2 linked regions of the Alligator mississippiensis genome follow. The protein of the gene in region 1 binds, or shares a complex with, the protein of each later gene. Links are inferred from orthologs where the notes say so. Each region holds a gene or a part of one and is shown in the gene's direction. Other genes may lie near its edges.

Region 1 (10,826 bases):
CCCAGGCATCGCCCCCGCCCTGCCCCCGGGGCACAGCGGGGCCGCAGCCACCAACGTCCTGCTGCTGCCAGGGGTCGTGGGCGCTGCAGAGCCCAGGCCAGGCCGTGCCCCCGCTGCAGAGGAAGGCAAAACCCCCCAGTCTGCACCAGTCTGACCAGGGGGCAATCCCTTCCTGCCCCAGCACAGCGCGGGGCTGAGCCTGCGTGCGGGGGCAAGACCCTCCACCAGGACCCTGCGGGGTTGGTGCCAGCAGGAGCATTGGCACAGCCCAGCCTCAGGCGCACACGGTCCTGGACCCGCTGCTGTCCACCACAGCACTTTATTGCTGGAGCCTGCGCCCGCTCTCATGCCGGCGCCTCCGTGTCCACCTCCACCCTGCTCTGCTCGGGGGTCTCCAGCGCCTGCCGCGTGTCCGTCTGCCACAGCTGCACCAGGTCCATGGGGGTCTTCCCGGCCTGCGGGGTGGGTGCAGGGGGTGAGGGCAGCCCGGCGTGGCCTCACCCCGTGTCCCTGGCCCAGCACTTACCAGGTTCTTGGCCAGCATGTCGGCCCCGTAGAGGAGCAGCATCTTGATGATTTTGTAGCGGTTGAGCCGCGCGGCGTCATGCAGGGCCGTGTCCCCCTCCTGTGGCCATGGGCACCCACGTCACCAGGCAGTGGGGCCCGGTGGCCTCCAGACCCCCTCCCGCCTGCATGCCTGGGCCACGGAGCAGGTACAGCACCTACCCTGTCCACAGCATTGATGGCCACGCCGACGTGGATGAGGTGCTCTGCAATGTCGGCGTGGCCGGTGCGTGTGGCCACATGCAGTGGGGTGCTCAGGAGCTGGGGAGATTGGCGGGGGAGGAGGGTGTTAGCCCCCAAAGGGACCCACGGGGGTGGCACCTGCCTGCACCCCCACCCCTGCACTCACCTTGTCCACGAGGTTGAGGTTGGCACCGTGGTCCTGCAGCAGCTTCACCACGGCCAAGTGTCCCCCACGGCAGGCCCAGTGCGCGGCCGTGCAGTCCAGCTGCCCACAGATGCTCACGTCAGGGCCAGGCCAGCCCCTGCCTGGCCACGTCCCACAACCCCCCCCACCTGCCCCACAACTCCCCCTGCCCCACCCACACCCAGGACCCCATGCCCCTCACACTGCAGAAAGGGTGACCAGCCCTTGCAGGAGCAGCCCCCTGATTGGCTGCTTTTCCACTAGGGGCAGGGCAGAGGGGACGGGCAGCCAATCAGACTGCAGTAGGGCTCCTCCGCCACCTCTGGGGGCTCTGGGCTGATCCCCAAATGCTTCCTCCAGGTGCCCTCCCCAGACCCGTGGCAGGGACAGGGGGCTGCCCCCATCTCACCCGGTCCTGGAAGTCCACGGTGGCGCCGTGCTCCAGCAGCTTCTCCAGGATCTCGATGTGCCCCTCCAGCGAGGCCCGGTGCAGCGCTGTGCGGTGGAACTGCCCCGGGGCAGCACCGCCATCACTGGACAGCCCCTCCACCTTCCCCACCCCGAGGGCTGCGTCCCCCGCCTGCACCAGGCGCCTGCAGACCCCTGCCCAGCACCCAGGGGCACAAGCAGCCCTGCCAGGCACAGAGCAGCTGTGCCGGGTCCGTAAGGGCCAGACGGACCGCAGCATTGCCAGCCCAGCCGGTGCATCGTCCCTCCGCCCAGCTCCCCGGCGCTGCCCGTGGGGGGCCCAGGATGGGCTGGGGGCACCACCTCATCGCAGGTGTCCGGGGAGCCGCCGTCAGCCAGGAACTTCTCGACGAGGCGGAGCTGGCCCCGCACGGCCGCCCGCAGGAACGTCTCCGGCACCACCGCGGCATCCTGCCGGGCAGGGGGACATGGGACTCCTACACCCCAGGACCCCGCCCGGAGGGTGCTGTCCTGACCCCCAGGCCCCACTGGGCTCTGGCTCAACCCCAGCCCCTTACAAGGTCCTCGGGCTCCGGCTCGGGCGCCGGCTCAGGCGTGGCGGCCCGCTCCTCCCGCCGGCGCCGGCGCTGCTTGCGCAGCTCGATGAGGTGCTGGATGCCGCCCACGTCGATGATCTCGCGCCGCAGGTCCACCGAGCTCCTCCGCACCCGCTCCTGGCCCTGCACCAGGGAGGGAGTGAGGTGTCTGCCTGGATCCCTGCCTCGTGGTGCTTGGCCATCAGCGGGCTTCTCCCCCCTACTCTTGACCCTGCCCCGGGCTCCCCCTGACCACGGCGGCCACAGCTCCTAGAGAGCCGCCTGCCGGGACGAGGGGCCGGCCCAGCTGCGCCCCCCCACACCCCTCACCTTGAGGACGGCGATGCCGAGGGGAAGGGCCCCCCGGTGCTTCTCATCCTCCAGCTCCTGCACCTCCATCCGCACCAGCGCTGGCGGCTGCCCAGAGCTGCTCTGAAACCCAGCACAGACACCCTCAGCCCCCAGGCTGGGTGCCATTGCCCGGGTAAGGCGCTAGATCCGCAGGGAAGGGCCATCGGGGCTAGCGCCAGGGCTCAGCCCGGCTCCGGCGTCCCCGGACTCGCCTGCTTCGCCGCCTCCTCCTGCGCCAGCCTCTGGTCGATGAGCTCCGTCGCCCATTTCAGGTCCTGCTCCACAGTCGCCGCCATGGCTCCGGCCCTGGGCACCGCCTGCCCTGGCGCTGGGAGCTGCGGCGGGTCCTCGCTGCTGTGCCCGCAGCTGCTCGGCTGCTCCAGGCTTTATGCGGCGCCCAAGGGACAGGTGTGCCCGCCCCGTGACTGTGACCGGGGGCTTTTGTCATGAGCTCACCGGCCACATTCTCCCCGGTCACCTTCCCGCAGCGCTGGGCATCGCCCTTAAAGGGCCCCAGGCACAGCAGGGGGACCGAGGGGGGCTCCGGCCTGTGGTGTGGGCAGGAGCCAGAGCCACCGCACCGGGGCAGCAGAGCGCTGGAGCTGGTCACCCCCTGCCCTGCGGCAGCCCTGGGCCCATCCCAAGCCAGTACCCCAGGGCAGCTCTCGATGCCCCTGGAGCTGGGGTCCTGCTCCATGCCGCACATGCTGCTCCCTCCGCGCTGCTGTGGCAGATGACGTCAGGCACTGGCACTTCCGCCAGCCCCCAGGGACACGCTGGCCAGACCCCAGCCTGCCTGGAATAACTCGGGCAGGAGCTATTCCTGTCTCTGCGCACCGCGCGCAGCCCCGCTGGGACCAGAGGAGGGGGCAAGGGAGATGCCACAGTCATCACCGCCCGAGGACCACGAGGCAGGCACGCTCCAGCCTAGAGCCTGAGGGTGACCTTTGACCCTTCCCTTCTGAGGTCACGGGAGGTCGCTGCCTCGGTGTGCAGTGGGGGTCCCTCCCCCAGGTCCTGCACTGGGAAGGCGACAAGCTGTGCGCTGCAACAAGCCGGGGTGGGGGGCACCAGGCAGGGAGCGTGGAGCAGGACCCCCCACCAGCAGCCCCCGCACAGGCGTGTGCCGGCACACACAGGCGCACGCTCGCTGCAGCCCTGGGGCTGAGGACAGGGCGCTTGGAAGAGCAGAGCCAACAGGAGCCAGGAGCTAACCAGCAACGGGGAGGAGCCGGGCACAGGACCCCCGGGGGTAACGTGGCCTCGGTGCCACTGCCCCCGTCACCATCCAGCATCCCCGCAGACCGCCGAGCTGGGAAGGATTTATTGATAAATACAGAGTACGGACACGGCGGCCCCGGCCCCGCGGGCGCCCTGCACCGCGGCTCCCGCTGCGTCTCCGCTCCAGCACGAGCAGCACAGTCCAAGGGGGCTCAGGCGGGGGGACCCCGCCAGCCCCCGCGGGCACCGCCCCAGGCAGCGCCTGTCACAGGAGCGGCCCAGCGGGTGCAGGCCACTCCTCCAGGGGCGCGGGGGGGCCGAGCCCCGGTGCCCGTCCACGCCGGGGCCAGCCCGAGCGCCGCGGCCTGGGGGCCGTGCCCACCGCCGGGTCAGTTCCTGGGGGGCGGCGGCTGGCTCACGATGACCTGGACCACAAAGTCCTTCTGCAGCCGCGTGTCCTGCAGGCGCGTGCGGTCCGTCAGCAGCTTCCCCGAGAAGAACCAGCGCTGCCAGGCGGGCTCGATGCCCTCGCGGGCCTGCAGCTGCCGCTTGAGCTGCCCCACCGTGTCGGCCATGCTGGCGCCCAGCCGCACGTCCCGGCCCGTCGACAGCCGCACCTTCAGCGGGAACTCGCGCCGCGCGCCCGGCGCCGGCTCCGCCGCCTCGGGGCCCTCGTCCTCGCCGCGCTCCTGGATGAGGTTCACGGGCGGCGCCAGGCAGTACACGGGCAGCTGGTACCGGTTCCCCAGCTCGTCGTAGCACTCGGTCAGGGAGCCTGCGCCGGGCACAGCCGGTGAGGGCCGGCGCGCTGCCCACCCGCGGCCCCTCGCTGCCGACCCCCGGCCGCCACCACCCCAGCCCGTCTCTCCCACCCCCGGGGACCGGGCCCCCGGCGCGGCGCGGCGCCTACCGTGAGGCAGGGTGATGCTGGCGCCGTCCAGGATGGCCTGGGCCAGGCCGTGGTCGCTGGCCTCCACGGCGCCGGCGGCCGCCTTGAGCGCGTCCCAGATCTCGGCGCGGCCCTCGAAGGCGGGCGCCGTGTCCCAGAACTCGTCGCGCTTGCTGCGCAGCTGCCCGGCCGTCATGGGGTAGTCGCTCTTCCACTTGGGACGCTCCTTGCGCAGCGGCTCGTTGCGGCCTGCGGGCAGCGGCACGGTCAGCCGGCGAGGGGCTCTGCCACCCGCTGCGGCCGCGGCCCCGGGCATGTCGCCGGCGGGCGGGCGGGCGGGCGGGGGCGGCAGCACGTCCTGTTGCTCCGGCTGCCCCAGCCCGGCCCGGCAATTACTCGGGCGCGCCCGGCCCGTGACGGGAACCAGGCGTGAGTCACGGCCGCAACACCCCCCCCCCCCCGCCACCCCCCACGGCCCGGCCCGGCCCGGCCCGGCCCGCGCGAGCCTGCCCCCCCCGCAGCCCGGCCCGGCCCGGCCCAGCCCCCCGTGTGCCCCCGTCGCGGCGCGGTGCCCGTGCCCGTGCCCGTATCCCCGGGGCGGGGCGGTCCGGGGGGGTTACGTAACCGGCTGCCCCGCTCACCTGCCCGCTTGCGCGCGTGTCGCGGGCCCGGGGCTCGGCGCGGCCTCCCCACGCAGCCGCCCATGTCCCGCCCGGCCCGGCCCGGCCCGCCAGCCCGCGGGACCCGGCTCGTCCCGGCGCCGCCAGACCCGGCGGAGGGAAGCGGGCTGGGCCCGGCCCGGCCCGGCCCCGCCCCCCACGTGCCGCGGCCCCGCCCCCGCGGCCCGCCCCTCGGCGCAGGCCCCGCCCCGCGCCCGCGCGCTGCCGGGCCCGGGTCACGTGCTGGGGGCGGCGCGCATGCGCGGGGCGAGGCGGGGCGGGGCCATGGCGGCGCTGCGGGCGCTCGTGCATGACTTCGTGTCCGGGCTGCAGGACGGGCCCGCGCCCGAGGTGGCGGCAGGTGCGGGGCGGCGGGGCTTGCACGCGCGGCGGGCGGGCGGGCGGGCGTATGTGTGTGCGCGCGTGTGTCACCTCTGACCCTTCCCGTCCCGCAGGGCTGCGCGCCGGGAGCTGGACGGCGCTGGACGTGGTGGAGGCGCTCGGGTAGGAGTCCCGTCCCCGTCTCCGTCCTCGTCCCCTTCCCCCGCGCCGCGCCGCGCCGCGCCGCGCTCACCGCCTCTCCCCCAGGTCGTCGCTGGAGCACCCGGAGCCGCGCACACGCGCCCGCGGGCTGCAGCTGCTGGGCCAGGTCCTGCTGCGCTGCCACGGCGCCCTGCGCCACGCGGAAGGTGCGGGGCCGGGGCCGGGGCCGGGGGCGGCGGTTCTTGGCAGCGGGGCTGGGACCGGGCTCGGGTGGTGGCGGCGTCTGGGGCAGGTGTGACGCGCGGCGCTCGCTCCCCGCAGTGACGCACCTGGTGCTGTTCTTCGAGGCGCGCCTGAAGGACCATCACCTGGTGATCCCCGCCGTGCTGCACGGCTTGCACGCGCTGGTGAGTTCACGCCCCCGTGCCCCGGCCACGCGCGCGGCACCTCCGTGCCCCGGCCCCAGCCCACCCAGGGGCGCGGGGCAGGAAGGGCTCTCAGCCGCGCATGCTCTGTCCGTAGAGCCTGAGCGAGGCGCTGGCCCCGGGCCTGGCCGTGTCGGTGCTCAAGGCCATCTTCCAGGAGGTGCACGTGCAGGTGAGCAGCCCCCACGTCCCCTTCAGCCGCTGGGATGTAGCGCATCCAGAGCGACACGTGTTGTGCTCTGCACGTGCTCCCAGGCGTGCGCTGCGTGTGCGGGGACGGGCTGTTGCCGTGGGCCGCGGGGTGCTGCCCTGCACAGACGCGGTCGGGGTGGCGCTGACACCTCTCTGCCCCGCAGTCGCTGCTGCAGCTGGATCGGCACACGGTCTACACCATCATCACCAACTTCATGCGGACGCGGGAGGAAGGTGCGGGCCCAGGCCCCGTGGGGGGGGGGGGGGGTGCTGGGGTGCCAGGCCCTGAGCGAGCCCCGTGTCTGCTCCCGTCCCTGCAGAGCTGAAGAGCCTCGGCACCGACTTCACCTTCGGCTTCATCCAGGTGATGGACGGCGAGAAGGACCCGCGCAACTTGCTGGTTGCCTTCCAGATCGTCCGCGACCTCGTCCTCAAGGGCTACGCGCTCGGTGAGAGCCCCTGTCCCGCCAGGCGCTGCCCACCCCCCCGGGCTGCCCGGCGCCGGGTCCACAACGCTGCTCCGGGGCCTGGGCCCAGGCGGCTGTGGCTGGCGCTCAGCTTGCGGCTCCGCTGTCTCTCGCAGGCCCCTTTGTGGAGGAGCTGTTTGAGGTGACGTCCTGCTACTTCCCCATCGACTTCACCCCGGTGAGCGAGTCCGTCCGGAGCCGCAGCCCCAAACCAGACCTGCCCTTCCGCAAGAGGGAGCCGGGGCTGGGAGCTGTCCAGAGGGTCTCGGCACCCGAGGCGGGGGCAGGTCTCGCATGTCCCAGCCTCGCCCCTGGCACCTGTGCTGGACCAGGCACCGCACCAGGAGCCTCTGCTGAGCCCTGGGCTCCTTGCGCTTCTGTTGCAGCCCCCCAACGACCCCCACGGCATCCAGCGGGAAGATCTGATCGTCAGCCTCCGCGCCGTGCTGGCCTCCACGCCCCAGTTCGCTGAGGTGAGATGCGTCAATGGGGGTGTGGAGCTGCGCAGGGCAGGAGGGCTGCAGCGTGCGGTGGGGGGCTGGGACACTCGGCTCCGGGCACCAGCTGCGCTCCAGCGCTCAGGCACCCTCGTGCCGTCTGCTCAGCTCCTTCGCTGCTGCTCAGTGGTGGGAGGAGGGTCTGTTGGGCCAGGCTGGCACTGGGCACCAGGCTGAGGAGCAGCGTCTGGGAGCACCAGGCAGCAGCCACCTGAGGCCCCAGCTGGAGCCAGGACCCTGAGACTGAGCCCATCCCCGCAGTTCCTTTTGCCGCTTCTCATCGAGAAAATGGACTCGGAGCTGCAGAGCGCCAAGCTGGACGCCGTGCAAACCCTGGTGAGCATTGCTTCCACCCAGCCCGCCAGGGGCCCCAGAGCCCCAGCAGGGGCTGCACCCTCACTCCGCGCCCGCTGTGCCCTGCAGAGTGCCTGCTGTGCCATCTACGGGCCCAAGGAGCTGCAAGAGTTCCTGCCCAGCCTTTGGGCTTCCCTGCGTCGGGAGGTGAGTGAGGCCGGTAGGGTCCCTGCCAGAGGTGGGGGGCAGCCCACGTCAGGTGGGTCAGGAGGCTACAGTGGGGGCTCGGGCTGTGGCCCCTGTCCTGGGGCGTGGGGTACACGGTCTGTGTAGGCCTGGGCCCTGCAGCTGCCCCCACCCCTATCCCCAGGTGTTCCAGACAGCGAGCGAGAAGCTGGAGGCAGAGTGCCTGGGTACACTGACAGCACTGGCCGCCTGCCTGTCCCACGCCGTGCTCCACGCCGACACCCACGACCCGCTGGACACCTTTCTCAGTGGTGTGCTGCAAGGTAACTGTCCCGGCTGCATGGCAGATGCTGGTGCCAGCTTGGGGAAGGGGCTGACCCGGTGTGATGCCTTACACAGGGTGGGCCGTGGCCGGGCTGAGCTGTCCCTGGCTCTGTGGCCGTGAGCTGGCAGGCACGTGTACCTGTGTGCGCGTTCACCCTATGGCTGAGGTGCCATGTGTGTGTCCCCAGACTGCCGGCACCACCTGTGCGAGCCTGACATGAAGCTGGTGTGGCCAAGTGCCAAGCTGTTGCAAGCCGCAGCCAGCGCCTCACTCCGGGCCTATCACCACATCGCTGGCAGCGTCCTGCCCCTGCTGCTGGAGCAGTACAACCAGCACCCCCAGGTGAGCGCCGCCCGGCAGCATCGGTTCCTCTGGGGTCACACGGCCCCACGGGTGGGGTGCAGGCTCTGGGGTATGCAGCAAGGTGCCGGCATCAGGGTCCTTCTCTGGTCTGGGGGTGGGGGGTCTCTGCAGGGCTTGGCCCCACGGTGCCTTTCTCTGCCCCCGGGTTGGTGGCAGGGTCGTTGGAGCTAGAGCACCCCCCGCACCGGTGCTGACCCCCATCCTGGCAGGGCTGTAACCCGGGCCCGGTCTTGGCTCCTGTGCAGAGCAGCCAGCGGAGGACGATCCTGGAGATGCTGCTGGGCTTCCTGGAGCTGCTGCAGAAGTGGGGGCACGAGGAGGGCGGTGAGTGACAGGGTTCTGCCCGTGGCTCAGACCCGCTCCAAGCCGTCGCCTGCCACCCCCTGCTCCCCCTGCCCCCTCCGAGGTGACTGCAGCGCAGCACCACCCCAAAGGCCTGCGTCCCAGTGATTCTGCGTCCATGTGTCCGCAGACGAGACCGTCCTGCTGGGCGTCCGTGCCCCGCTGTGCTCCGTGGTGTTCTCGGCACTGACGGACCCCAGCGTGCAGCTGCAGATAGTGGGTGTCCGGGCCCTGACCGTGCTGGGCGCGCTCCCAGGTGGGTGTCCTGTACTCTGGGTAGGGGTGGGGTCTCCCTCGGCGCCAGGCAGGGTCCTGGTGGGGCTGGGGGTGGAGTTGGGTGACGGGTTGTTCCCCACTGGGCTACATCTGATCTCCTGGGACAGGGCTTTTGGTGGCCTCAGACCTGGACTTAGCTGTGGACCATTTGACACGACTCGTTCTCCATGAGGAGGATCCCCAGAGCAGGTGAGCAGGGCCAGGTGGTGTGGATGGGTGGCCCGGGGCTGGGACTGGGAGCACCGTCCCCAGGGGGAAGCAGCTGCTGGAGCCGAGGGGCGGTGTCAGGTTTGGGACAGTGGGGCTGAACCAGTCGGGGACGGGAGCGAGACCAGAGCAGGCTCTCGTCGGCACCAAGGCAGGTTACAGGCTGGGCCCGGTCAATCCAGAACGGGGTCCTGTGGACCAGTGCCTGCTGCCGGCAGACAAGGCAAGGCTGGGGCACAGGTGCTCCTGCTGCCTTCACCCAATCTCTCCCCTCTTGGTAGCATGGCAGCGATGGAGGCCGCAGGCACCCTGGCACCTGCCCACCCTGGGGCCTTCACAGACCACATGGTGCGGGCACTGGCACAGGAGCTGCAGACAGGTACAGGGCTAGGGACTGAGGCCATGTGCTGTGAGCAGGGCCACGTGGGGAGGGGTCTGTAGAGGCATTTGCAGGAGGGAGGAACAGGAAGCCCACTGGTGCCCGCAGCAGCTTGCCCTCAGGGCCAGGGCTGGTGGGGTCCCAGCTACGGCCCTGGTGCCAGCCTCCCCACCCCATGCCGTGCCTTCCAGAGCGGGAGGATGAGGGCACCCGGCACCAGCGCTGCCTACAGGCTTTGGCTGCTGTGTCCACCCACCCCAGCATTGTGCGTGAGACCGTCCCCGTCCTGCTGCAGCATCTCCGCCACCTGCAGAGAGGTAACGTGGCCGCACTGTGCAGCACCCCCGCAGCGGGGTGGGCTGTAGGGGGGCACCCAGGACTGAGCTGGGCTGGCAGGGGCTAGGATGCTGGGCAGCTGTGGGTCAGAAGTGGGTCTCAGGGCACTGCAGGTTCGGGGTGAAGGCCCCCACAGAGCTAAGAGGCTGCAGGGTCGGAGTGAGGGACACTTGGCGGGCAGGCGGTTGTGGGTCAGGAGTGAAGGGCGCTGGGGGGGGGACTGCTGGCCTGGGGGAGGGGAGGTATGGGGGGGCCAGCGCCAGAGGGGGTGCTCATGGGCCCTTTGCCTGCAGGCAGCGAGCCAGGGGACACTGGGAAAACGGCATCGCTGTGCCGCAGCCTGCACCGCGTGGCTGTGCAGAGCCAGCACGACCCCGAGAGCTGCAGCTTCTACCACCAGGCCGTGGTGCCTTGTCTGCTGGGCCTGGCCCTGCAGGCTGCCCTGCAAGGTGAGTGTGGGGCTGGGCTCGGGCTGGGGCTCCTGGGTTCGGGCCTGAGGCGTCCAGCTGGTGCCTGGACCATCGGCTGAGAGCAGAGACACCCCTTTGCCAGGTCTGGGTGCAAGGATGATGCTGCAGTTGGGGGTGGGGGGCTGGTTGGGTTCCCCTCGTGCCCCTTCACCGGGTCCTCGTAGCCTGGATCAGGGTGTCCCTGGATGCAGGGGCCAAGGCCCCGCGGGTGCTGACCATCCGATACTCACCCTTCCCCCAGAGGATGCTCTCCTGGCGCCAGGCAAGGCGCTGCTGGAGGAGGAGGCTTTGACCTCCATGGTGCCCGTCATCAGCGCCGCCAGCACCCACCTGAGCCCCGAGTGAGTGCAGGGCCTGCAGGCAGGGAGGGGGCCCAGGGCACACGTTTGCTGGCAGTGCTGGGATTGAGCACCGTGGCCTTGCTGCAGCTCTGCCCGGCTCCTGTGTGGTTCTGCCTGGCAACGCTGACCCACCACATTGCTCTTGCCCAGGCTGGCGGTGCAGAGCGCGGCGCTCATAGTGCCCCTTT
Region 2 (11,055 bases), on another chromosome or scaffold:
CCTGGGGCTACTGCCCATTGATACACAAACGTTGTTGCCATGGTGATGGTAACATGCAGGCAAAAACTTGACACAGGCAACTGCCAGCTACAAGCTGGACTAGACCGGGGGGAGCAAGCTGCAGCACACATGCTACAATTGACACACGAAGGCCCTGTGCATGGCACACAGCAGATCAGGGAGGGGGCAGGGAGGAGAAAGCAGAGCAGCAGAAGATGCAAGGAATTAGAGGAGCCCTTGAGGAGGGGGATGGGCTACACTTTACTGTCCCCTAATGAACTTGAGGGAAATAATTTCCTCTTGCTCTCCAGCAGGTCATCCCCACCACTACCAACAACAGACCAGAGGAGGTTCCCGTGCAGTGGGAAGTAAGTGGGAGAGGCAGACAGGCATCCAGTGACTCAGCTAATGAGGGTGCAGTTAGAGTCCGGAAGTCCCCGGTTCCATGCTGATGACTCACACCAGTCAGGTCTTTCCCTGGGGCCAAGAGATCCATCATGGGCATGCTGCCATCATAAAGCAGGGGCTGCAGTAAGCACCCACCTCCACCCAGAGCCACATTTCGGGTTCATTTATGTGGACACTCACCCCACTGCCTCAGGCTAGGGAGGAGAGGCAAAGAAGTGTCCTGCCACTAGCTCCTGGCTCTGCTGGCCTGGCAGTGTTGATTTGTCAACACAAAATGGATCCCAGAAGGGGACCTGCCATCTCCAACACTCCTGAGTGCCTGGAAACAGCCGGGAAAGTAGCTGCTCAACCTCAAAGGGCTGGTGCCTTAGGGACAGCAGCGTTACACCCCTGGCTGCTGTGAGGATGAAGAGGAGAAGGACCTGGCACATCTCAAGGCTGGAGCAAGGGACCAGGATGATAGAAGAGGACAGAGAAAAAAGGAAGAAGCCTGGAAGGCCAAGGAAGTGGTGATGGGCACAGGGATGACCTCGGGCCAGGCTGCTGGAGAAGGAGCTGCAATGCAGCTATTGACACTCACTATCCCACGACAGCTGCCAGCACAACTAGCTCCACAACTTTCTGGCCTAGGAGCAGCCTGGCAGTATGGTCCTAAACCCAGCAAAGGCTGTTCTCAGCCCTGCGGCACCCCCCTACAACCAACCAGTGCTTGGCAACTAACCAGGAGCCCCCAGGCCCACACCAAACTGCTGTGTCTGGTGGTCACTAGCAGGGGCTGGAGAGGGGAAGGCTCTTGTGGCAATGAGGTGGGAATCCTAAAGACATCAAGCTGGAAGGGACCACCAGAGGTCACATCTAATTCAACCCTCTGTCTGAGGCAGGATCAGCCCTGTCAAAACCATCCCAGACGCATCCAACGTCCATCCTCTTAGCAAAACAACACAGTCAGCCCTGATGCAGCACCAGACATCACACCCAAACCTGCCACAGGGAAAGCAGGAAGACTGCAGCAGTCAATGTCCTGCTTTTATAACAGGTGGCTAAGAGAGTCCAGGTTGAGGTTGGGCCTCTGCTACAGAGGAAGGCAAAAAATCCCCCACTCTGTACCAGTCTAGGCAGAGGGGAAAATTCCTTCCTGACCCCAATCAGCATTTGTCTGAGCCTGAGCAGATGGCAAGACCCTCTATCAAAGACCCGCTGGGTTTCAGTTCCAGCAAAAGCATTGGCACATCCCATTCACCATCCCCAGTCTAACTAGATGATCATATAGGGTGCAAAGGACCCTTGGTGATTGCTGACTGGAGATGGGGAATCCTGAAGAGAGTGAGGGAACCACATGAACTTCTGGACTGCTGTGCTCAAAGCCAAAGCTTGGCAGAGACCTAATATTCTTCCCACTGCAGAGGGACTAACAGGCAGCTGTTGCTGGAGCTCAGAGGAGGGACTCATACAAGGGTAACTGAGGACAGGGGTTATTTTAGGGGGGAACCTCAACATTTACAAATGGAATCTGCTCTTGTGAGATCCCAGGAGAGGCTGGATGTTGCTGCGAGACCACGGCCACCTGGCTGGACAGGAGAAAACATCCTGCCTCACAATGCAAACAAGCAAACAGCCAATTTTCCAGTTCCCTTGTCCTGAGGACAGACACAGGCACCAGGAAACTGAAGCTCCAATTTCCCCCCACCTTCCAGGAAGATAGGCAGGGCAGAGCTGCACCTTCAAGAAAAATCAGAGTCTCAGAGATATGTGGCCTTTGGGAAGTAGCAACTGGCTTCGAAGGATGCTACAAAATTTGTTTTGGTTAGTCCATAAGGGGCAACTCTACCCTGGTTTAGGCCTGACTCTAGACTATCACAGTTAACTAACTGCCTCTCTCTGCTCCTGAAGACAGATAGTTTATCTGTGGCCATCAGCCACTCTTAAGACCAAGGTACTGCGAGATCCTCTGAAGTGGACTATACCGTATTAGTGGTAGCATGAGTGTAAAGATTCACAGGAGAAACCCAGAGATTGCCCATAGGAAACCAGTGTCCAAACCCTACAGCCTTGCTGGGGGCTTGCCAAGGTCTTAGCCACAGAAGAATTGCTCTGGGATTTTTCCATAGACAAGAAAAAAGTGCAAGGAAGAGTTGGGATTTGCCAAGGGGGGCCTGGGTCTCAAGAGGGGAGGAACTGCTGCCCTATATGGTCTTTGTACCTGGAGTGCCTTCACTTTAGTCGGCAGCTGAGGCCACCTGGGCCTTTTGTAGGGACCTTTCCTGGTGGCAGAGTTACCAAGAAGCTAACAGAGTGCCAACTAGCGACATTAGATCTGGAATGGCTTTCTCCATCGCATCTATGATAGATAAACCTCACAGCTACCGCCATGCCAAAGATCTTAAGCCGAGTAAGAGCAAAACCCTGGGTTACACACACCACGTGAGGACCGTTTTCTGAGCTGAAAGAATTGTCTAATGAGGTGCCTGGAATGTAATCTCTTGGAAACCATCTGTGGGAACACTCAGCCAGACCTAATGCTCATGCAGATCTAAGGCCCCAGCTGCAACAGAACAGGGCAAAGACCTAAGAAATGCCACAAGGGCAACAAAACCAAAATGAATGAAAGAGTCCTGGCTCCACCGAGACTCCCCCATTCTCTGGTGTTGCCAGGATGTGACTTTCCTGGCAGGGCTAAGAACAAACGTAATTGAAAAATGGGGAGCCATGCTTTTCCTGAAGACTTTGGGTTTCCAAGAAGGTTAGACAGAGAAAAGTCTTGAAAACCTGGAGATACAAAGTCCTTTATCAAAGAATCATACAGAAAAGTGGGGCTGGAAGGGACCTCCAGAGGTCACATTGAGTCCAACCCCCTGTCTGAGGCAGGATCAGTCCTATCCAACCATTCCAGACAAATCCATCATCTAAACTCTCCATAAGACTACCCTCAGCCCTGACACAACAGAGACCTAACACCCAAACTTGCCACAAGGAAAGCAGAGGAACTACTGCAGCCAATGTCCTGCTTCTATGAAATGTTGTCAATAGATGCTCAAGAGATCCCAGGCAGAGGCCATGCCCCTACTGCCGAGGAAAGCAAAACCCTCCCCTGCCAGTCCCTCCCAATCTGACCAGGGGGTAAAATTCCTTCCTGACCCCAAATGACCCCTTCCTGGCCTTAATCTGAGCATGACCAGAGAAGCAAGACCCTCTAACCAGGACCCTCTGGGTCTAAGTCCCAGCAGGAACACTGGTACAGCCTAGTCACCGTCCTCAGCCTGGGCTGCAGCCAACACCCAGCGAGTCTGAGGGAGGATTAAAAACACCCTGACGCATTTAGCAAAAATTAGCGGGGAAGGGAAGGAAGAAGAGCAACAAACAAAGTCCAGAAGCTTGGGAAATCCCTGTAGTAAAACACAGGCATTGCTATACCTCAGGGGTTGTCAACTGGCGGTACTTGAGAAGGCCCCAAGAGGCACGTGTGGGTGGGCAAGGAGTGCCGCCATGTATTACCCCCCATGCTGCCACGCAGGCGCCGCATACCTGGCCAGGCACATGGGAGATAGTGGGGGGTGTGAGAGAAGCTTGCGCACAATGACTGCTCTGCATTCAACTGCACCCCTCCACCCCCGCCAGGGATACACTGGTACTAAAAGTTTGAAACCCCTTGCTATACCTAGATCACCTCTGACCAGCAGCTGTCCAAACTCCTCCTGATCACCTCCAGTCCACCCTTCCCTGGGCATCCCACTGCCTTGCTGTTCTAACAGAAAATAAGTTTTTCCTGAGATTGAACTTTATCCTCCTTGGCTGCCACTTCCAGCCGCTGGTTGGTGTCCTCCTCTATCCAGCAAAAGAGAAGGTGTTTTCCCTCTTCTTCATGTCTGCCCTTCAGCACCTTAGCCCCAAAGCAGAAGCAGTACATCCTGGGACAAGATGACTTTCCTACCAAGCGTTTCAATACAGCTGTAAGAGGGATCCTGGCTCGGAGGCTTAGAAACCTGACCACAGACCCATTTTCCTGTCCCAGCGACAGCAGTCAATGAGGAAGCTGTCTGAACAGAGCTTTTTCCTAGCACCCACACCAGGGGTCCTCAACCTCCTTAGACTCTAGGGCCCCCTTGGGAAAGCCCAGAGCTGACATTTTCCATTCCTTCCCTGAGGCAAAGACCTGGGATAGACCACAATAAGCCAGCAGGGTTGGGACACGGTGGCTTCTATCGGAAACCTCTCGGTTTCTCTTGGACTGCGTCGAGGTGCCTGCATGTCGGATGGGGCTACTCTGCCAGGCACCTTGAAAAGGATAGTGGGGCGTCCCTGTGCTGCTTCCCCAGCTGGGAACCACCGGGGCCGACTGGCATGCCCGGACCCCTCCCTGCTAGAACATGGCAGAGAATGCATGAGTTTCTCACGCACGGCCAAAGAAACAGGGGATGCAGGGTCTGTAGCACAGAAGTCACCTCTGCTGGCGACCAGTTAGCCCAGGGCTTCTCAGCCAGGCACGGCCGGGGCCGGGAGCCAGGAGCCTGGACAGGAACAAACACCCGTGTGTGGGTCCCTGGATTGACCCAGAGGATTCCCAGAGAGGTACAGAGGGTCCGAGCCCCTGGCCCGGCCTGGCCTGCTCTGCGTCAACATAGAGCAGCTCCAGGATTAGGGAGCGGCCTGAGATACGGAGGGGCCACGGGGCAGCCCAGGGTGTGCGGGCAGCACCGAGCAACACCCTCAGCCGCCCCAGCCCCGCCACAACTGCCCCAGGGCCCCCCCCGCTCAGCCCCCTGCCCCGCTCACCTCGCAGCAGCGCGGGCTCGACGCAGCCCAGCACGTCGGCGACGCCGAGCTCCTGGCGGGCGCAGACGCCGCCGTGGAGGCGCAGCCAGGCGGGCTCGGCCAGCGCCGTGCACAGCGCCGTGATGGACAGCGCGCCGGGCAGCGCCGACGCCAGGCTGCGCTCGGGCTGCTTAGGCAGGGCCCCGCCGCCGCCGCCCCGCCGCCGCGCCCCTCGCCCGCCCGGTCCCGCCGCGCCCGCCGCCGCCGCGTACATCCCGGCCGGGCCCGGCGTCCCACGAACAACCGCCGCCGGCCCGGCCTCGCCTCAGCGTCAGGACCCCCGGCGCCGCTTCCGCTTCCGCTTCCCCGCTTCCGGCCGGCGGCGACTACGTCACCGCGCACTTCACCGCCTCCCTGACGGCCGGCGCCATGACGCCATGACGCTGAGACACGCCCTCTCCTGCGACGGCGTTTAGCGATTGGCGGCCGTGAGCTCCCGTTGCCCACTGCGGCGCCCAGGCGGGAGCGGCAGCGCGGCGCATGCGTGCGGGGTCGGCTAGCGGGAGCGGAATGGCGACGCTGACGCTGAGCTGCCGCCTGGCTGCGCACCCGGACTCGCGCTGCTGGTTCGTGGCCTGGAGCCCGGGTGGGGCCCTGCTCGCCTCGTGCGGCGGCGACCGCAGCGTGCGCGTCTGGGGCCGCCAGGGTGAGCGGGGCGGGGCAGGGCGCGGTACCGTATTGCGCGGCATAGCACACGCCGTGTGACGTATTTACCCACCTACACGTCCCCTCTAAGCGTGGCCAGGGCAGCGCAGAGCTCACAACAGCAAGCAGCTTTCCTGTGCGGCCCCGCTGCGCCAGTTGCACACGCTGTGCTCTGGAGGGCCTGGGGGAGTGCAGCATTTGCGACCCAGGGTTTGCAGCTGGCCAGGGGGAAGGGGTTGCAGCCTCCCTGCTCCCAGCTGGAGTGCTCAGTGGGCTGCAAACCCCCCATCCTGGCCAAGGAGTGCCCAAGCTGGCTGGGGGCTGAGGGAGCCAGGGGGGGCGGGGCCAGGCACTCCCCCCCCCAGATTGCAAGCCTCTCCAGTCTCTCAGCCCCCAGCCAACTTGCACCCCAGCCCTGCCCCACAACCCCCAAGCCCCACTTACCTCTAGCAAGAAGAGTGAGCCTGAAACAGCCTATGGTAAATGCAATTGTCAGGCCCTGACATTTTCCCTCTCCCTTCCCCTCTGGACAGGGGTGGTGGGTTCCCTGCCCGTTTTGCAAACAGCTCTTGTAGGCTGGAACTCAGCGAGGCTGGAACTCAGCCAGCCTGCAGAGCTCTTTGCAAAAGGGGGAAATCCATGGGTTTCCCTTCTAAAAGGGAAAACCCATTTTTTCTCTGATTAAAAAAAGCTGCGTAGGCATCTGGATGGGGTCATATGACCCCAGCACTCTTTCCTGCCTAGGCAGGGGGTTGGACTCAATGATCTGTTGAGATCCCTTCTGACCCTAGCATCTATGAAAAAATGGGAAATCTGTGGCTTTCTCTATTTTTCTGTGGAAAACAGAAAACCCGGATCCCTGGTAATGTCTCACCTATACACCCCCGAGAACAGGATAATGCACCTTGTGTGTAGGGGAGTGGGGACAGCACTGCAGGGGACACTTGGCATAGCACCACTGCCATATTGTCTTATTTACAACACACTTTTTGGGGAGCAGGGCATGGCCCCAGTGTGACGTGTGGTTCCTTGCAGGCGAGAGCTGGGTCTGCCGGGCAGTGCTAGACGAAGGGCACCAGCGCACAGTGCGGAAGGTGGCCTGGTCGCTGTGTGGCAACTACCTGGCTTCAGCCAGCTTTGATGCCACCACCTGCATCTGGAAAAAGACGCCTGATGGCTTTGAGGTGAGGTGAGGCGCGGTAGAGAACCAGCCCTTCTTCCCTCCCTCCTCCCCTTCTCCAGGCTGGGACACCTTGCCCCAGGGCAGCCAGGCACCCCAGCTGTGCACCGCACCTTGCTCCCAGGTGTGATCAGGGCTGCCTGAGAACTGCCCCTGCTTGGCCCCACCTCCCTCAGGCTCATCTTGTCCCTGCCATCAGCTTGGGTCTGGTTGCTATGTCCCACATGTTCAGGGCCAGCAGGTGCATGCAAGGAGGAGTATGAACCCTGGGTACTAAGCAGGGGCACCAGAAAGGGGCAGAGGGTCAAGCCTCAGGCAGTGTAGGGCAGGAAGAAGTGGTTGGGGGGAGCCGAGACTACTGCTCCTACCTTTGGTGGATCAAATCCAGGCTCCATGGCTAGGTCTGAGCAAGAAGAAGACGGAAGAAGAAGAAAACAGCTGCCCTGAGAGTGCCTGGCCTTGCCACTGGCTCCAACTCTGGCCACCTGTAGCCAAGCTTTTTTGCAACCTAATCCCTGCTGGGGTCTGGTATTAACTGCTTCTCCCCCTAACAGTGCGTGACCACGCTGGAAGGCCACGAGAATGAGGTGAAGTCGGTGGCCTGGTCCCCATCCGGCAGCCTGCTGGCCACCTGCAGCCGTGACAAGAGTGTGTGGATCTGGGAAGGTGAGAGAGGCTGGGGTGTGGTGGTGGTGGCAGTAGGAGGGAAGGGGCCTCTAGCTACGTCCTAGTCCCCCAGCTAACCCTGTCCTCTCTGGCAGTGGATGAAGAAGATGAGTACGAGTGTGTGAGCGTTCTCAACTCTCACACACAGGACGTCAAGCACGTGGTCTGGCATCCTACCCAGGAGGTGAGATCCTGGTTGGCTACCCCAGGGGGCTCCAGCCTCTGTCTTCTGGGCAGTGGGGCAGGATGGGAAAGGCTAGGGGGAAGGAGTCCAAAATGGCTGGATTGCACCCTGTCCCCTAGATATCCCTCCCCCTTCCACTAGGTAGAAACAACCCACCTGAGACCCCAGCCTCTCCTGCCAGCTCCTGGCCTCAGCCAGCTATGATGACACTGTGAAGTTGTACCGTGAGGAGGAGGATGACTGGGTGTGCTGCACCACACTGGAAGGCCATGAGTCTACTGTGTGGGGCCTGGCCTTTGATGGGGCCGGCCGGCGACTTGCCTCCTGCAGTGATGACCGCACTGTGCGCATCTGGAGCAGTGATGAGCAGGGTGAGCCAGGTATGGGCTGGTGGGGAGGGCGACAACGACTCAGGAGTCTGGCTGGCTCACCTCCACTCTAAGGGCTGGTGAGGGTGTGACAAGGCCAGCACCTGCTCTGCTCCGTTGGGGTGGCTAGATGGCACTGGCAGGGCTATATCTGTCTCCCAGCTGTGCTGTGCTGTGGGCAGGGGGATGCTGGGAGCTGCTAGTTTCCAGATCAGCCTGGTGCACTGAAGCCCTGGGTGGCCTCCAGCGCTGCTGTGAGGTCTGGGGCAGCAGCTCCCTGTCCTGTTTCTCCTGCCTTGTAGGGGTGGCCTGTAGCAGCACAGAGCCCAGCTGGAAGTGCATCTGCACCCTCTCTGGCTACCACACCCGCACCATCTATGATGTGGCCTGGTGAGTTGGTCCTGGAGTAGGGGGAACTCAGGTTGGGGCCACAAGTGGTTCTAGGCTCTCCCCTTTATCATGGGAGCTGGGGGGCACTGAGCCATGGCCAGCTGTTCCCAATGAGCCCTGAATGCTGTTAGAACCAGGAGAAGCCAACTTCCCTGTATCCCCCTCACCTGTCTGGAGGAAGGCTTTCCTTTGGCTAACTTCTGGCAGGGGGTGGAAAACGGAGTAGATTGGGAAGGGAGTGACGCTTGAGGGGGGCAAGTAGGAGTTATCTGGCAATCCCCATGGTACCAGCCCCTCCTCCCACAGGTGCCACCTGACCGGCGCACTGGCCACAGCCTGTGGAGACGATGCCATCCGGATCTTTGAGGAGGAGCCGCTGGCGGAGCCACAGCAGCCCACCTTTGCCCTGATGGCCCACGTGCCCCGAGCCCATGCCCAAGATGTCAACTGTGTGGCCTGGAACCCTGCCGAGCCGGGGCTGCTGGCCAGCTGCAGCGACGATGGGGAGGTGGCCTTCTGGAAGTACCAGCGCCCTGAGTGCTGCTGAGACCTCAGCCTGCTGCTCTGAGCTTGCAGAGCCTGACACTGGCTCTGTCTCCCCCACCCTGGGGCAACAGGAAGCCTGGCAGATGCAGTCACAGGAGTGTGGTGCTGTTGCCCCCAGAGGACAGTGGCACAGCAAGGGATTGGGTTCTCTGCTCCTTGAAAGGGCCTCAAGTTACCCAAGTTGTGGGCAGCAGCAAGGCAAGGGTAGTGCGGTTTCCTCTGCTGCAGCTGTTGCCCTCATCAAATGGAGCCAGGCCCCAATAAAAAGCCTCCCACATCTGGTCTGGCCTCTGCTTTATGCCCTGCCCTGGTCCAGGGGGTACAAGATGCTGTGGTGTACACTTCGAAGGTCCATAGACGGAAGCCCCCCAGAATCACAGCCCAGCCTGCAGCATGCAGGTAGGGGAAGAGGCTGCTGGGAACTGGTGGCACCAAGCCAGGTCTCGATTTGGATTTAATGTAGCTGCTTTAGACATGCAACCAACAGCCAGGCTGGGAGACCATGGTCCCAAGCCCCAGCAGATGTCTGGTACTGGAGCCCTCAGTGACATCAAACTCAGGGCAGCTGCTGATTGGGGCCCTAGTTTCCTTCTCCTTTTAAGCCAGGCTTCCCTCCCATTTGTAGCCTTGCTAATGTGCTGCCCCTACCTTAGTCCAGGAAGCCTCAGCCTTAGCACCCTCCCCTTGCCACAGACCAGATTTGCTAGCAGTTGGGATCAGTGGGGCTCAGCCTTCATGGGTGGGCAGGGAGGGATCACCCAACTGTCTGCTTTCACATGCTGAGCCGGGGTCTAAACCAGGCAGCTGGACTGGGCTCAACGTGACTGCCACGGGTACGTGGGCAAGGCGGTCCACTCCTCCCCTATTCAAGCAGGGTGGCTTTTATGGGTCTGGCTTTTGCTTTCCTGGCAGGGGGAGACGTGTGAAAACAAAGATGTGAACAACCAGCCATCATCTTCACCCAGCCCTACCTGCTTTTACCCCCAGTACTTCATAGACCTGCAGTTACTTGACTGCTGCTGCCTTTCCACACTAGGGGTAATTCTGTCATGAGTCAAAACCATCAGGATTCCTTCCATCTCTACAGCCCTTACGCCCGTCTTGCTTTTTCATCCTCATTCCCTACAACTCTAGCACAAGAGGCCAGGGTTTTAGAGTCGTTGGCTGGACTGATTGCACAGTTAGCATAGCTTTTGGCCATCAATAACCAGCTGTTCCTTCCCAGGTCAGGAAGAAGCAGAGGCAGCTGAGGCTTAAACAAAACTAGGGTGTGAAATCAGGAAAGGCACAAGCCCAGGAGTAGGTTAGAGGAGGAAAAGTAGCAAAAGAAAGGTTAGCTTGACTAGTGGAACATCAAGACTGTTAGGAGAGGCGGGGTTAAGACCTGCAGAACAGAGTAGCAGGAATCCAGGAGATTGTGAGAGCTGTGAACTCAATGTCCGTGGTCAGTCCTTGGTTTTAGTGCCCTGCTTGTGAACCATGTGTTCTCAGGCTTTGTAAGCACAGAAGTCTGATTCCTGCTAATCTCTCTTCACTCCACTGGTGTGAATGATTCTCTCCCCTCTTCAGCAGCCTTGACAGTCCGCTCATTGAGTTCTCCTTTCTCTTGCAATTTTCCTGGCTTTGTCTACACCTGGAAATGTCTGCTCCCATTTCACAGCCCTGAAGATTGTTTCTAACTCTAGTTGTGCCTCCCTCCTCAGACCTGAAGGGTGCCCGGGGCTGGAAAACACAACTGATGCTATCCCAACTGCACTCCGTCCAATAGAAGATAGAATGCAGGGTAAATCTGCACCTTAAAGAATAAGCAAAGAAGACTAGATTGCAAGCTTTCATGAGCAGAAGCTCACTTGATCAGA

The links.
Region 2: MMS19 (region 1) and CIAO1 share a complex: the UniProt entries of both Homo sapiens proteins name them as parts of the MMXD complex. The link is inferred for Alligator mississippiensis from reciprocal best matches to the Homo sapiens genes MMS19 and CIAO1.

What each region holds. Positions count from the first base shown.
Region 1 is NC_081829.1:100,701,179-100,712,004, reverse strand, and holds the start of MMS19 (MMS19 nucleotide excision repair protein homolog), read left to right. Parts: upstream 1-5,309; 5' UTR 5,310-5,313; coding exon 5,314-5,416; intron 5,417-5,510; coding exon 5,511-5,559; intron 5,560-5,643; coding exon 5,644-5,744; intron 5,745-5,859; coding exon 5,860-5,945; intron 5,946-6,060; coding exon 6,061-6,135; intron 6,136-6,319; coding exon 6,320-6,389; intron 6,390-6,475; coding exon 6,476-6,604; intron 6,605-6,738; coding exon 6,739-6,800; intron 6,801-7,008; coding exon 7,009-7,095; intron 7,096-7,380; coding exon 7,381-7,455; intron 7,456-7,542; coding exon 7,543-7,620; intron 7,621-7,783; coding exon 7,784-7,922; intron 7,923-8,111; coding exon 8,112-8,266; intron 8,267-8,496; coding exon 8,497-8,611; intron 8,612-8,759; coding exon 8,760-8,885; intron 8,886-9,012; coding exon 9,013-9,094; intron 9,095-9,393; coding exon 9,394-9,491; intron 9,492-9,682; coding exon 9,683-9,808; intron 9,809-10,120; coding exon 10,121-10,276; intron 10,277-10,538; and 3 more. Other genes in the region: ANKRD2 (ankyrin repeat domain-containing protein 2), read right to left, coding at 320-455, 527-825, 914-1,012, 1,341-1,439, 1,703-1,810, 1,918-2,079, 2,266-2,412; UBTD1 (ubiquitin domain-containing protein 1), read right to left, coding at 3,897-4,282, 4,418-4,645, 5,038-5,101. UniProt on the Homo sapiens protein: Key component of the cytosolic iron-sulfur protein assembly (CIA) complex, a multiprotein complex that mediates the incorporation of iron-sulfur cluster into apoproteins specifically involved in DNA metabolism and genomic integrity.
Region 2 is NC_081830.1:10,375,600-10,386,654, reverse strand, and holds CIAO1 (probable cytosolic iron-sulfur protein assembly protein CIAO1), read left to right. Parts: upstream 1-5,639; 5' UTR 5,640-5,697; coding exon 5,698-5,863; intron 5,864-6,897; coding exon 6,898-7,046; intron 7,047-7,596; coding exon 7,597-7,708; intron 7,709-7,803; coding exon 7,804-7,892; intron 7,893-8,073; coding exon 8,074-8,272; intron 8,273-8,562; coding exon 8,563-8,650; intron 8,651-8,956; coding exon 8,957-9,197; 3' UTR 9,198-9,473; downstream 9,474-11,055. Other genes in the region: TMEM127 (transmembrane protein 127), read right to left, coding at 5,179-5,431. UniProt on the Homo sapiens protein: Key component of the cytosolic iron-sulfur protein assembly (CIA) complex, a multiprotein complex that mediates the incorporation of iron-sulfur cluster into extramitochondrial Fe/S proteins.